Caenorhabditis elegans: one gene and its partners. The protein of the gene in region 1 purifies or fractionates together with the protein of each later gene. This does not show direct contact. Each region holds a gene or a part of one and is shown on either strand. Other genes may lie near its edges. The genes, in order: B0228.7, F42F12.4, C29F5.1 and dph-5.

Evidence for each region.
Region 2: the proteins of B0228.7 (region 1) and F42F12.4 fractionate together in Caenorhabditis elegans (co-fractionation; one large-scale study listed by BioGRID). This does not show direct contact.
Region 3: the proteins of B0228.7 (region 1) and C29F5.1 fractionate together in Caenorhabditis elegans (co-fractionation; one large-scale study listed by BioGRID). This does not show direct contact.
Region 4: the proteins of B0228.7 (region 1) and dph-5 fractionate together in Caenorhabditis elegans (co-fractionation; one large-scale study listed by BioGRID). This does not show direct contact.

What each region holds. Positions count from the first base shown.
Region 1 is NC_003280.10:7,756,651-7,760,292, forward strand, and holds B0228.7 (S-methyl-5'-thioadenosine phosphorylase), read right to left. Parts: upstream 1,741-3,642; 5' UTR 1,729-1,740; coding exon 1,611-1,728; intron 1,563-1,610; coding exon 1,452-1,562; intron 1,403-1,451; coding exon 1,309-1,402; intron 1,263-1,308; coding exon 1,160-1,262; intron 1,113-1,159; coding exon 960-1,112; intron 912-959; coding exon 705-911; intron 659-704; coding exon 578-658; 3' UTR 540-577; downstream 1-539. Other genes in the region: B0228.1 (uncharacterized protein), read left to right, coding at 1-196; B0228.8 (uncharacterized protein), read right to left, coding at 3,060-3,244, 3,290-3,456, 3,527-3,615. UniProt on the Caenorhabditis elegans protein: Catalyzes the reversible phosphorylation of S-methyl-5'-thioadenosine (MTA) to adenine and 5-methylthioribose-1-phosphate. Involved in the breakdown of MTA, a major by-product of polyamine biosynthesis.
Region 2 is NC_003284.9:12,351,495-12,354,847, reverse strand, and holds F42F12.4 (Acireductone dioxygenase), read left to right. Parts: upstream 1-1,900; 5' UTR 1,901-1,902; coding exon 1,903-2,019; intron 2,020-2,061; coding exon 2,062-2,181; intron 2,182-2,229; coding exon 2,230-2,322; intron 2,323-2,520; coding exon 2,521-2,607; intron 2,608-2,664; coding exon 2,665-2,784; 3' UTR 2,785-2,853; downstream 2,854-3,353. Other genes in the region: srdf-2.2 (3-oxo-5alpha-steroid 4-dehydrogenase (NADP(+))), read right to left, coding at 3,256-3,322.
Region 3 is NC_003280.10:6,301,846-6,306,831, forward strand, and holds C29F5.1 (START domain-containing protein), read left to right. Parts: upstream 1-1,679; 5' UTR 1,680-1,709; coding exon 1,710-1,793; intron 1,794-2,235; coding exon 2,236-2,409; intron 2,410-2,539; coding exon 2,540-2,742; intron 2,743-3,278; coding exon 3,279-3,473; intron 3,474-3,519; coding exon 3,520-3,706; intron 3,707-4,055; coding exon 4,056-4,364; 3' UTR 4,365-4,438; downstream 4,439-4,986. Other genes in the region: C29F5.8 (DOMON domain-containing protein), read left to right, coding at 4,584-4,829.
Region 4 is NC_003280.10:11,348,432-11,351,895, forward strand, and holds dph-5 (diphthine methyl ester synthase), read left to right. Parts: upstream 1-1,760; coding exon 1,761-1,834; intron 1,835-1,880; coding exon 1,881-2,127; intron 2,128-2,289; coding exon 2,290-2,793; 3' UTR 2,794-2,942; downstream 2,943-3,464. Other genes in the region: pigm-1 (GPI alpha-1,4-mannosyltransferase I, catalytic subunit), read left to right, coding at 61-111, 162-233, 282-842, 894-1,253, 1,306-1,515.

The DNA of each region.
Region 1 (3,642 bases):
TTCAATGGCTTTTGCTCTAATTGCTGAAACAATCAATGAAAGATTTGTTGGATCAGTCAAGGATTTGATTCGTGACGTACTGACTCCAAAGGAATATGATATTTTCCGTAAACACTATCACCCGCATATCTTCAAATTGGACAATATTGGCAATAATACAGAAGCAGTCCGAACTACAACTCACGAAACATTTTGAAAGTTTACCTCTTGATTTCTTTTGAATGTTTTGTCTCACACAATAAAGAAAATTCTACCGTAGTAAAAGAAAGATTTTGCTTCAGTTTAAAACAAAAACCATAGGTTCCACCGAGATTTGAACTCGGGTCGCAGGATTCAAAGTCCTGAGTGCTAACCGCTACACCATGGAACCGATGGTTGCATCGTGTCCGAGGGCATAAACGTTTGCGGTGCACTTTTGAATGAAACAACTGTTGATACAGCGAGCGTTTCCGTCTGTTCGGGAATCTAATCGTTCTTTGAATGATCAGAATTTCATACACTTCTTGATAAGATTCGAGAAACTTCGAAACGTTAACTTTGCAATAATATCTTTATTTTAATGATTGTAAAATAAATTTTAAAACTTTTTCTGATTGTCAGTGGTGAGGAATGGAATGACGACGTCCGGTGAAATCATGACAGATTCGCGAGCTTCGGTCTATAAATTCAATTTATTTTCATTTTTCAATCTTTTAACAGTTTACCTTGAGTTTAAGAATTTCTGCGCTCCAATCAATTTTTCCGATTTCTCCAACAGCTTCTACGAACAATGTCTTGGCCTTTTCAACATTTGCTGCAAACACTTTCATTACAGATGATGCAGTCACATGATCTTCTTCTTTCCAGCAATCGTAGTCAGTGACAAGAGCTGTGGTAGCGTATGGAATACCGAGTTCCTTGGCAAGAATACACTGAAAATATAGAGGTTATCAACAACTACGTCTCCAATTTTCAAATACCTCTGGCATCATTGTCATGTTAACTAAGCTTGCTCCCCATGACTTAAACACCATGCTCTCAGCTTTTGTTGAGAATCGTGGACCTTCAATGCACACTCCGAAACCGGTTCTATGATGGACAAGTTGACATCTTTCAGCAGTTGAAATTAGAACCTATAAATTAGGATATAATTCCGTTTTAATAAATTTTTAAAAATTACCTGTCTCAGTTTCTCATTGTACGTTGGATGAGCTTGAATATGACAGACTCCTGGAGCTTGATCGTAGCTTCCATCGAAGAATGTGCTTTGGCGCCCAGTTGTTCTAAATTTTGAAAAATTTTTTTTTTTTCGTGATTGCGATTTAATACCTATCGAACACTGAGTCTGGGAACAGTAAATGTCCTGGTTCGACGTTTTCCTGGAGAGATCCGCATGCTGTAGATGCGATTATGACATCGACACCTACAAAAAATTATTTTTTTCGAATAAATTTTTTAAAAGAAAATGTCACCTCTGGAATAGAGTGCCCACAAATTTGCGCGGAAGTTTACGTTTCCTGGCATTATATCATGTTTTCTACCATGTCGAGCCAACAAAACACATTCGACTCCATTTATGGTTCCTAAATGGAATATGTTAACATTTAAAAAATAACTAATTAATTTTTCACCTTCTACAACATCATCACTTGGTTTTCCATATGGTGTATCTACGGCAACTGTGACTGGATCCAGTAAAATATTTGGATCTTCCAAACCACTTCCTCCAATAATTCCAACCTTGACCATGTTTGAACAGCACTGAACAAAAATATAATTAGGCCTAAAATATTTTGAATCCGAAAAGACTGAGCCAAAAAGTGCAATAAACTGTTTTATCTAATCAAAGATAATACTGATAACACAACCAACTCACGACACATAGTGTACTCCATTCAGGAAAAAATCAATACAAAGCCATATGAGACGAGGTGCACAAGCTGTTTTCGTGGTATAGAGGAGAGGAAACTGGAACGGCGCCAAGGCACAGAGAAAGAGACGATGGGGAAGGCGCATTTACGGTGCTCTTTTTTCCTTTTTTTCAATCGAAAAGTGGAATAGAAGTGGAAAAATTGAATTCAAAATCAAATTAACAAGATATAATGTTTCAAAATTTTTTTTTTTTAATAGTCATGATATGGATTTTTTCGATATTTGTTTTAGATTTTAAAATATTTACAGTTTTCCTACAATTCTTCTTGTTTTCTGAAAAAGTTTAGAAAAAAACAACAAAAAAAACAAAAAAAAAATGTTTCCTGTTTCAATTTCAAGGGAGGTGCACATATGCCGAATGGTCTTGCCGCGCGCACTGCAGAAAACATTTTTGTGTATGCGCCTTTAAAATTACTGTAGTGAATAGTAGTGCAGGCCTAGATTAATTTTCGGTGTCCCTGGAAATCGCAGAAATCACATTAAAGAAAAAAAACAGTGAAATAAAAAATATAAATTGAATTTCGGGTTTTAAATAGTTTTATTTTTCAAAAAAAACAATCCCGATGTTAATTTCCCGATGAAGAGATATCAACTGTCTAGTAAATCAAAAGAAGAAACGTGATTTTTCTGAAGTTTTTTCTCATTATCAATACTTTCAAGGTCTTTGAGAAAACATTAAAAACACAATGTTCAGAGAAAAAGTGAGCAGACTGAGAAACTTTTCTTCGTCAACGAAAGGCAATGTATATAGAAAATCTGAACAATCTCCAAGGCCAACTAGGACAGCTATGGAAACCGATGTGCTCTATTTCAGCGTTAAATGCTCACTATATAACTGACATGAATAAAATATGCATTTGAAACGGTCAAACTAGAAGAAAATTACAAAGAGGTGCTACTTTTCGAGGTATAACACAACTTTACGAAGACACATACATAGAGTGCCCAAGAGATGACGAAAATAAATACGGCAAAAGTATTGAATTTCATTCCAAGTAATAAAAAATAAACAAATACATATTTTATTTTCGTTACTGTAATAGATCAAATAGTTAAACATTTTATTCATTACAGGTGAATCCCACATGATCCAACTGCCAGAAATCATCTTTCTGAAATAATATCCTATAGATTCTCAAACAATACATTTAACATACATAATATCCTTCAAAGAATACACGATGAGTTGATGTACTGTTATCACTTGCTGCAGACATTGTATTAACTATCCAAAAGCCTATTTTCGAATCCTGGTATGCGTACACATTTGTTTGCTTCGGAACAGATTTCGCATAGAAATTTGAAAAACCAGTCAACCAGTTATCAAATTTCGCTGAAAATATGAATATTGTTAGGTAAAGTTTCAATTATTTTATACCCCAATTCTCAAATTTCATTCCGCATGTATATCCATGAAATTTGCTTTTATCAAACATTTCTTTGAATGCTTGAAGTGTATCCCAGCTGAGTCCTTTATTGAGCATTTGATCCCATCGACGAGAAGCTAGAGCCATTTTAACAACTGATGCATCACTCTTGGACATTCTTTAAATATATTTATAATATTACAGAAATCGTCGGAAAATTGCTTCAAATTAAATCTTTAAAACCTTACTTTGTTCTGGATTCTGTGCAGTTCTGTTGAATTTGATAAATTCTCCAATCCAAGAAATTCTCAAAATACTCAACCTTTACATTCGTGTACTGAAAGTAAAATTGAATGAGAAAACA
Region 2 (3,353 bases), on another chromosome or scaffold:
ATAAAATGGCTACAGGGATTTTCAAAAAGGGATTTTCAAAAAAATTAGTTTGTAGCCAGATATTAATTTTCAAAGTTTGGTAAATCTACTAATTTCCTATACCATTATATTTCAAAATGTGCTCCAATATTAGGCCTGAAAACGTACTTTTTCTGCTTAAACTCGGTGGTTATGAAAGATTTTGCAATGCTGTTTTTAAATTCAGAAAGAACACGAAATTTGCAATAAAATGGCTACAGGGATTTTCAAAAAGGGATTTTCAAAAAAATTAGTTTGTAGCCAGATATTAATTTTCAAAGTTTGGTAAATCTACTAATTTCCTATACCATTATATTTTAAAATGTGCTCCAATATTAGGCCTGAAAACGTACTTTTTCTGCTTAAACTCGGTGGTTATGAAAGTTTTTGCAATGCTGTTTTTAAATTCAGAAAGAACACGAAATTTGCAATAAAATGGCTACAGGGATTTTCAAAAAGGGATTTTCAAAAAAATTAGTTTGTAGCCAGATATTAATTTTCAAAGTTTGGTAAATCTACTAATTTCCTATTCCATTCTATTTTAAAATGTGCTCCAAAATAAGGCCTGAAAACGTTTTTTTTCTGCTTAAACTCGGTGGTTATGAAAGTTTTTGCAATGCTGTTTTTAAATTCAGAAAGAACACGAAATTTGCAATAAAATGGCTACAGGGATTTTCCAAAAAGTTAGTTTGAAGCCAGATATTAATTTTCAAAGCTTGGTAAATCTACTAATTTCCCATTCCATTCTATTTTAAAATGTGCTCCAAAATAAGGCCTGAAAACGTTTTTTTTCTGCTTAAACTCGGTGGTTATGAAAGTTTTTGCAATGCTGTTTTTAAATTCAGAAAGAACACGAAATTTGCAATAAAATGGCTACAGGGATTTTCCAAAAAGATAGTTTGAAGCCAGATATTAATTTTCAAAGCTTGGTAAATCTACTAATTTCCCATTCCATTCTATTTTAAAATGTGCTCCAAAATTAGGCCTGAAAACGTACTTTTTCTGCTTAAACTCGGTGGTTATGAAAGTTTTTGCAATGCTGTTTTTAAATTCTGAAAACAAAGTTCTGTGCTGGTGTCAATGGTGATGAATCTTACGCATTCTGCTCTCCATGGATCAGTTTTGCCACTCAAACCAACAAAACTTGCTACAATTTCTGTGTTCATAACTGTGCTGCTGTCTATGATGGTTCCTGCACAACTGATAAAGACTTCAGATGCTGCTTGAAAACCACACCAGCTAAAAAACAAGATAAGCGGTTGCAACAAACTCTACAATAATCTTTAAATTTGTATGTGTTTCTCAGTCGTTTACACATTCATTCAATAAAAATTGTTTGCAAAACAAAATGTGTTGATATAAAACGAAAGGACTCTATGAAAACTCTTTTACGGAAACTTTAAAAACGGTAATAGCACCCACATTTAAAATGCGATCACAAATATGTGTAAAATTTGTTGAGCAGCTTCTTCATAATAGTGGTGCAGTATCTGATAGTCCTGAACTGACTTTTTGCCAACCCAGCAATAATTGTGAAAACGTCAGCAATTCTGTAGTTTTTTAATATTTTAAACAAACTAGTGTTTGTAAAATCCAATTCCGATCGCTGCGATTATATTAAATCAAATGTATTTGTGATAAAGTCACTTCATAATTCAATTCAAACCAAACAGGTATTTTTCAAATGACCGAATGGTATCTAACTAGTTCACAATGTCTATAAAAAGTGGTCTCCGTTATCGGTGTGTTCATCGAAACAGTCTTTGCTGTCCATCGCACTGTTATCGATTTTATTACATTTATGAAATGCACCTCCGTTCTTTGTTCTTCGTTTTTTTCTCTTTTTTTTTAGCCAATTCTCTACTGATTTTAATATTTCCAGAGATGGCGTATTTCATGACTGATGTTACCAAGGAAAATCGCCAAGATGAATGCAGATTTTCGCCGAACAAAGAAGCTACCGAAGAAGATCTTTTGCGAATTGGAGTCGAATGCACAAAAGTAATATTTGAGGCATTTCTCAAACAATGATTTTCCTTTCAGGTCAACTTTGATGACGAACATGTTCAAGAGGACTTGGATCGTCTTATCAAGAAATATGACATGAATTTTCACGACGAAGTTCATATTTGTCGTGCCACCATGCCGAATTTCGATGAAAAAGTAAACAATTTGAAAGTCAATAACAGAAATAAACATTTGCATTTTCAGCTTGACATCTTCTTTGAAGAACATCTTCACGATGATGCGGAACTTCGTGTAATTAAGCATGGCGTTGGGTTCTTTGACGTCAGAACAAAAGACGTGAGTTTTATTGAAAAAAAAAGTTTTTGAAAAAGTGTTAATGCAGTTCGATGGCAAATGTTGAAAAATTTATGATCTCCAATTTTCATGATGATATCTGAAAAATTACGGAAGTTATTAGAAACATTCCAAATGTTCAAATCGTTAAAAAAAAACTTCCTTTTTCAAAGAAAAACAAAAAAAAAAAAAGAAAAACAGGAAGCTTGGATCCGCATCCCAGTTCGTCGAGGAGACTTTGTTTTTCTTCCCGCAGGAATCTACCATCGCTTCACTACCGATCCTTCGGTGAGTTTTTGTATACTAATTTTATTGGAACTATAGTGAAGAAATATTAATTTTCAGGAAGACGTCGTTGCTCTGAGACTTTTCCGAAATAATCCCAAGTGGACTGCATTCAACCGCAAAGCTGATGGAGATGAGCAACGAGTTCGCCAGCAATATTTGAACGATATTTCTGCTTAATTACAACGTCTAGTCAATTTCCGTGGTTTGCATATTTCTGTATTTGATGCAATAAACAGTCCATTTGTGTCAACGAAATAGTAAAGTTGAAAAGCAAAAACTACTGTTAATGTTGTGATTCGCGTTACCATATTGAAAAAAGGTTTTTTGTGCCCTGATATGGAGCTGGTCAATGTCGCTTAAAAATTATATACTTATTCAATATCTTCATTTGAAAATCTGTGTTTTGTGTCTCATCTGTAAATGTCTTGTTTGTTGTTTTCAGCAGAGATGTTCCTATTCAACTTTCAGTTTTAGATACTGTTAAAAACTTATGTCATTTAAAAAAAGTTATTTGAAAATTATTTGCAATTTTAGAAACTTTTCATCACACGGTAAACTTGAAGCATTAGAAATTAGATGCCGATGCCGATCAACGGAATGTGAGGTGAGTAAAACTATAAAAATTACAACAAAACAAATAATTGTAAATTAATAGATGTACGGAATTAGGGCACGACGCGTTGGTGGGTATTTCGGGAACTTCTCCTTGTACCAACTGAAAATTTATATATTGATGTTCGGGGACA
Region 3 (4,986 bases), 1.5 Mb from region 1:
GAGGATAAGGTAACATTAGATCAGTGTTGCTTCATTGTGGGTAGTGTTCTGTTGACAAAAAAGTGTCTCCTAAGTTTAGATTTTCCTGTGCTCCAGATATATTTCTTTTTAGAACGAGTGTGGGTCTCTTGTTGCTCAAAAAACTCAGATGTTTTTAAGTCTACTTTACCAGTATTCATTCTGATTACTTGGATTCTGTCAATTATTTTACGTCTCGTGCTTAAGGTTTGGAGGTCGAATAGTTCGTTACGTTCCATGGCAGTTTTGTAATCTTTATCAGTTGGATTAATATATCTTTTTTTGATTCTACTATAAAGGCGCCTAGAAAATGCGTTTTGTACAGACTCTATTGCTTTCTCATCCGATTTTTTTGTCGGAGAAGACACTACTGTTCCATATTCTAAACGAGGGCGGATGAAAGTTTTGTATAAGAGAATCATTAGTTTCTTATTGGAGGTACTGTACTGGTTGAACATGTTGGCCAGTTGAAATTTAGCTAGATTGATACATTTCTTCCAATGCTCAGAGAAATCCAGCTTTTCAGAGAATAAAAATCCAAGGTCTCTGGTAATAGCTTTTCGTTCAATAGGGTAACCGTCTAGGTGGTATTTGAAATCTATTCTACGTTTTTCTACAGTGACGTGAACTGTCTTTGATTGGTTTAGAGTGAGTTTTGATCCCCTTGTCCAATCTACTACAGCATCTAGAGCAGACTGTAAATTGTTTTCGCTTTCAGTCTTAGGGGTCGATACATACAATTTCGTGTCATCTGCAAACTGTTTACATGCTACTTTTTCGGGTAATATTGATGATATATCATTAACATAGATACCAAACAAAAGTGGTGACAGAACTGCGCCTTGTGGGACGCCACAAGTGGCCAATTTTCTGGATGACAGCGTTTGCCCAATTCTAACCCTAAAGCTTCTATTTGATCCTTTGTTGGCACAATCTTCTGGAAATTGATACTCCTCGATATCCAATTGATCACAAACATCGATATTCTTCAGAGTCTCTTTTTTAAATATCCAATCAACATTATTTAGCATATTTTGAAGGGAATTAACAGTCTACAGAAATTTATATTTATTCATCCTTTGTGAACAGTATGGAAGCGTTTTGAATAAAAAAGTTCCCAAGTTTTTGTTTAATGTTGCTCGAATTTTTATTTGCTAATCTTTTTGAGGTTTGAAATCTAACTGGTTGGGAAATCGTTCTGTCTAAAATTTATCATTATGAGCTTTCAAATAAAATATTTGTCATTCTACAGCCTCGTGATACAGATTTCTGTCTTTAGAAAATTATAAATTAAGCGAACGCTGAAATACTTATTCTCAACATTTTAAATTATTCGTTATCACAAAAACGTAGCCCAATGCTCCCACTCCAGGTGATGGTCAATCGATGTGTGCGTGTGTCCTCCAAATCTATACGAAATCTTTTCATTGTCTTTATTTTCTCCGAGATATTGGGATCCCGTCATCATCATCGGTGTTTCGAAACTTTGTCGATGAGATTGGACGGGAGCTCCTGCTCCCCCGCATTGTAATCTTATCTGAGTCTCTGTCTTCATAGACTATTTTTTGTTCCCGAACACCCCCTCATGTGCTCTCTCTCTCTCTTTCGTAGGGATCCGTTGTGCTGAAGAATGGCCTCTCTTTAAAACACAACACGTCGCTGGACAGATCGCCGTATAGCCGCTGTTCGATATGTCTGCCGACGGATTCTGGTTGTTTGAAGGTCTTGAAGAAGAACCATACGGTCTTCTTCCATTAAACAATTTATCTGGAAAGGTGAGTAGTTATTAAATATCGATGTAGGACTTTTTTTTTGGTTGGAGAATGTTTTTCTAGCTATTGTATTTCTTTACTTATTAATGAATTTCACAATTGAGAAGATGCCGAGCATTCACTTATGACCAACCAACATGGTAAAACTTCTTGATATTTTATTGTATTAGTTTAAAAGTTGTCTTCTAGATTTTTTGCTACAAAAATTAGAATTTTTAAGTTTCCTAGCTTAAAATTTTAAATGTCTTATGAAAATATTATAATTAGAAATATATGGAAGTTTTTTAAAAATATATGGAAATTTTTTTGTTGTATAAAGATCCATTAAAAATTAAATGATTTGCTGAAGATTTTGTGGAAAAAATGTATGAAAGTAAATGTGAGATTACAGTAAACGTGAGAGCGAATCATCTACTGTTTTCGTTAATAAAAATCAATTTTACAGGGAGGACCAACAAGTACAAAATATGTAGACCGTATTGGATCGTATCAATGGTATCTCAATGATGAGACAGCAACTATTCTTGTTCCAGGAGCACCTGTTGAATCATTCTATTGGCCAGGTGGCAAGTTGATGCAAGATCATGGAGTGATTATTTATGACGTCAATCATTTGAAAGTGAGTTCATAAGTTGTTGACTGAAACACGAGTTGAAGCACGAGAAGCGTGTAGATTTTTTTATTTGGAAAACAAAAATCAATCCATTTTTACAAGCAATGTGCTGATTTGGAAATCAATATAATTACAGGTACGGGAAGGATCTTTGGATGCCATCATTATTGCGGCACGTTTGCTCAGTGAGAAAAAGAAGAAACCAATCGATTTCTCTCAATTCCATTTTATCACGGATGCTATCAATTTGCAAAAGATTTTTGCATTCTGTAATGAAGCCGGAGAAGGATTGTTCCGAATCGATTGTGAACGCGTTGGAAAGACTGTTCTGCTCACTAGGTAAAAATAAATAGGTAGTATATATACCTATGTATAGGTAATAAATAAAAATAAGGTACCGTATATCCTCTATTAGTTTTGCACCCCTTGGCTCAACTTTGGCAGCTCATATCTCAGTAGTCGTTTGTTCTATAGAAAAGTTGTCAACTGATAAAATATTTGTTAGGTGGTTTTCTATAGTATGTAGTTTGTTAATTATTTATATGTTCAAAACAAAATGAGATATGAGCTGTCAAAGTTGAGCAAAGGGGTGCAAAACTAATAGAGGATATACGGTAGGCATGCAAACTGAAAACGAGAAAATTTAGTTTTATCTGTTTATTAAAAACTTTTTTGTTTTTAAAAAGTTTTTATAGTTTTCGTGATGCTTAGTAACTGGATTTTTCAAAATTCAGAAAAGTTTAGAACTTGAAATAAATTCTTGAAAAATTCGCACCAAAAAGTGAACATCTGCCTTGTCAGCCCTTCTCAAAGCAAAACTTCTAAACTTTTCGGTATTCTTATTTACTCAAAACAAACCAATAATTGTATTTCAGAATGGAAGCTTCTGATTTAATGGAAATCGGACATGTAACTTTTGATCAAAATCTGAAACATCGAATGACTCGCCCCCGTGGTGCTCATTCAACGGGTCCATTCTTCCAACTTGTTTCATATCAATATGGGCAATTCCGAATTCTTGTTAGATATGAAGTTGACTGTGCTGATTATGCAGCTGTCAAAGCCACTCCGTATGTTTTTTTTTGTAATAGTAAACAAAAAATTAAATTATTTTAGAGTCCCAGTAGATAAATCTGAAGTTCTGCCAGAGAAAAAGAAAAGTGATATGAACCCGGATATTGAAGTAGTGAATTATGGAGAAGTACCACATGATGTTCCACTTCAAGTACTCACAACATACCCACAAGGAGCTGGATTCCCATTTTTCACGTGGGCTCAGTTGTTCTTCACTAATGCTAACCATGTAAGTTTATGAAATATTTTGAAAAAAGATTTTTATACTCGACTGTAACTTAGACAGAATTATGAACATCTTGTCAATGTCTTGTCCAAGTATATGTAGATAGATTTTGGTACGATATTTCCAACAGATGCTTCCAACTTGGACAAAAAAGGTTTATCCACGCTTTTTGCAACTTCTGCCACAACTTTTACCATTTTATTATTTTTTGAGCGCATAATGAACAGCGTTTTTTGAGAGAGATTTTCTCAATATAAAATAGTTATGGGCCTACGAAATTGCGCAAAAAATAAAACTCATCAGATCAATAATTTTACATTTTCCACCCATCAAAAAAATTATCTAATTGCAGGAGCTTCTTGGTTGGTTCAAAGGAAACGGAGATTTCGGAAAGCCAGCTATTTACACTTTGCAAGATGTCTCTAAAATGATGAAGCCCCTTCCGTTGGTCTCTTTGTGCAAAGTTCACGACTGTCTTGACAAAGTTTACAAATTCTTGACTAAGAACGATGACAATTTCCGATGTGGACTTGTGTGGAAAGGAAAAGCTCATCTGGAAATCTTCGCGAAACACGAAGAAGCAACTGGTGGAATCAGTAAGGGAGTCCGTGATTTCTTGGCTACACAATGCAAAGATGATGAGCCAGAAGAGCAAAAGTGATTGATGAATGACCGTTTCCAATTTAATTTCCTTTTTGTATAATGTGTTCTAACAAATAAATAATTGTGTTTTGGAAGCGAGAATCATTAAATAGAAACCAGTTTTATCATCACTTCTTGGAAAAGAAGAACAATGTCCGTTGTTATTTCTAGACTTTCCAGCTTAAAACACACCTATAAATGGCCCCTCTGATATGATCAATGTTGATTCAAACTTATGATGATTCTATTCATTTTTTTCATTTTATTCATATGCCACGTCACTAGTTTCCACGTAACTCATATCAGTGACTGTGGAACTGCAAGAGGTTGTTGGAAACTACCAAATGGATGTAAAGATGCCAGTGACTGTCAGACAATGATGACGTGGAAACATGAAAGAAGACATTTGATTATTGAAATTGAAAGTAAACTGGTGAAGCCTGATATGTGGCTCGGTTTCGGATTTTCAAAAGATGGTTTGATGGTAGGCTTGTTTGGAAGTTTTGAAATGTTGCTTTATTCTTGTCTCTAAATGTTGCTAATTGTGAAAGCATTCAAATTTTAAAAAATCGTGTGTAAGACTTATCATGTTCCAGTCCTGTTCTTAACTGCCAAACTCCTCATTTTTATCGGCTAGCAAT
Region 4 (3,464 bases), 3.6 Mb from region 1:
CAAATTCTTTGTTGGTTTTTAGCATTTATATATTCGAATATATTCCAGTTTTCTCCACAAATGCAATGTGTCCGGAGTTTTGTGAAGAACGAAACGTTCAATCGAAATAAGGTAATTTGTCTATTTTCAACGAATTCATCGAATTAATGATGTTCTTCCAGATTTTACTAGTGGCATTCGTGGCAAGGATAATTCTCGTTTTCTACGCACACATTCACGATTATCTATTCAAGGTTTGATAATTTTACATCATCAAAATAAGTTTAAACTCAGTGTTTCAGGTGAATTTCACAGACATCGACTATCACGTGTTCTCCGACGCTGCCAAACATGTCTCAAACGGTGGAAGCCCATTCGACAGAGCCACTTACCGATATACGCCTGCGCTAGCATGGATTCTTTTGCCTGTTGTGCATTTCCCGGACTTTGGAAAGATTCTCTTCTGCATTTTCGACATCCTGGTGGCGATTCTGTATTTTAAAATAATGGAGAAAGATTTAAACGAAACAAAAAGCGAAACACGAGAAGAAATGAAAGATGATCAAACAATGAATGTCGTGATTTACTGGCTTGCGAATCCACTGACCGCTATCATCTCAGCCAGAGGAAATGCAGAATCTATTGTTGCTGCAGTCGTGCTTCTGAATATTGTGCTACTTCAAAAAGGATACTGGAAATCTGCAGCTCTAGTTCACGGCGCCCTTGCGATCCAATTGAAGATTTATCCATTGATTTATCTCCCATCAGTTTTTCTGAGTCTTTCAACAATTGGAGAACAAAGTTGTGTTGTGAACAAGTTTAAAAGTTTGGTTTCTAACTGGAAAGGCTTCGCATATATGCTGGTAAGTTATTTTTCTTAAAAACATGGAATTCTCAATGTTAAAAAGATTTAGGTAACTCTCACATCATTCGCAGCGGTGGTACTATTCTTCTTCCAAATCTACGGACAACTATTCCTCGATGAATATCTGATCTACCACGTCAAAAGAAGAGATCTCGCCCATAACTTCTCGCCGTACTTCTACCTATTGTACCTGTATGAAGCGAATCCGACAATGTCACAGATCATCGGCCTCGGAGCATTCATTCCACAAATTGTGCTGATCGTGTTCTTCGCCTTCAAGCATTACGATGATCTTCCCTTCTGCTGGTTTATCACCACCTTCGCATTTGTTACATATAACAAAGTGTGCACAAGTCAGTACTTTGTCTGGTACATTGTTCTTCTACCTTTACTCGCTCATAAAATTATGGTAAATTATTATTTTTAAAACTAGTTTTTTCCTAAATTCCACCTTTTTCCAGATGTCCCGACAACTAGCGTTATCTCTAATGGCCGCGTGGTTCGCAACACAAGGAATCTGGCTTCTCGCTGCGTATTTATTCGAATTCCAAGGATGGAATACATTCTTTTTGATGTTCCTGGCCTCCTGCCTGTTTTTGATTGCAAATTCATTTATTCTCAAACAAATTATCAATCATTATGTACCAATAGTCAAGCCAAAAACCGATTGATCTCATTCTGTAAAATGATATTTATGTTCACTTAAAGCTTTAGTCGCCTTTTTCATATGGGTAATTACTTGTATTTATTTTTAAAATTAATAAATTTTATTGCATTTTTTATTGCTCCATCATTTCTGGAACCTTATATTATCGGTTATTATCTCATCCGATAACTGATTTTCTTTTATTTATTAATTGTATTGATATCAGCTGATAATTAGTTATGAACTGCAATTTAAAAAAAAAAACTTCAGATGGTATTTTATTTGATTGGTTTGGGACTTGGAGACGTTGAAGACATCACTGTCAAAGGATTAAATATTGTCAAGTATTTATAAAATATAATTAATGCAAAATTAAATATTTTTATTCAGAAACTGTGCTCGCGTTCATCTAGAAGCCTACACAAGCATTTTATGCTATGGATTGGACAAAACAAATCTCGAAAAGTTCTACGGAAGAGAGATCATTGAAGCCGATCGGACAGTCGTCGAGCAGGAGTCTGATGCGATTTTAAATGGAGCCGATAAGGAAGACGTAGCTCTACTTGTCGTTGGAGACCCGTTCGGAGCAACTACACATGCGGATCTGGTGTTGCGTGCTAAGCAACAGAATATTCCGGTGATTTGAGGAAGCTAAATTTGATTCCAGTCACGGAACGTGCAAAACATAAACTAAAAAACTAGAAACTTCCTTTAAACTTTCATATAACTTGAATTTTTTGTGTGTTCAAAATATTAAGAGGTTTTTTTTAAAAATAAATTAAAACTTCCTTCGTTTCAGGTCAAAGTGATTCACAATGCTTCCATCATGAATGCAGTTGGCTGTTGTGGACTACAACTCTACAATTTCGGAGAAACAGTTTCAATTGTAATGTGGACTGACGAGTGGCAGCCGGAGAGCTATTACGATAAAATCGCGTTGAATCGTAAACGTGGAATGCACACTTTATGCCTGCTGGATATCAAAACCAAAGAGCAAACTGTCGAAAATATGATGCGTGGGCGGAAGATCTTCGAGCCAGCCAGGTATCAAAAGTGCTCCGAAGCGGCTCGACAACTGCTGACCATTTATGAGAGACGAAAAGCCAAGGGAGAAGAGTGTGCCTATGATGAGAACACGATGGTTGTCGGCTTGGCAAGAGTTGGATGGGACAATCAGAAGATCGTATACGCGAGTATGAAAGATATGAGTGAGATGGAGATGGGCGAACCTCTACATTCACTGATTATTCCTGGTGAAACCCATCCTTTGGAAGTCGACATGTTGGAAACTTTCAGGCCATAATTCCCCAAAATTGTTCCTTTTTTTGTTCTTATTCTTGTTCTGTTGTCTGTTGCTAATTACTTTTTCCACATTTTTTCAAACTTTTTTTGTTTAGTTTTTCGTTTTTTTTTTTTTTCATTTTGTTAGTCTCAAAAAAATTAATCTTCATTTCAAACTTTTTCCCACACACCGCGATTTTTTAATCCTCTTCCAATTTATCCGTATCCAGTTTCGCCTTCAAACTTTTGACCCTGGGAATGGAGGAAGAAAGCAAAAAAAAAAATGGCAGTACAACTAGAGGTCATCCGTCAACTGGGGATTACCGGAAGAAGTCGTTGCACATTTCTCACTTTTTAAATTTTCCTGCTATTAAAATTGCATTCCTATTTAGATAGTATTTTTAATAGGAATTTTCCAGAAGATCGACGACAATATTCTATTGAGTTAGCAAAGCAAAGCGGAAAAAACTAGTGAGCCACGAGAAGGCGGAGCTGTAATTGAGAACACCAAAACCTGACACGACGAAAAAGAGACTAGTAACATAAATAGTCAAAACAAGTTTTTTCTCCCTGTGCTCCGTGAGTACCTCAATCATGATTCGCGCAACGTCCTGCACAGCTCTTTTTTCCGGCCTGGAGAGGGTGGAGTTTCGAAGGTTGCTGCTCCAGGCCCTGCTCACACACACATGTCTT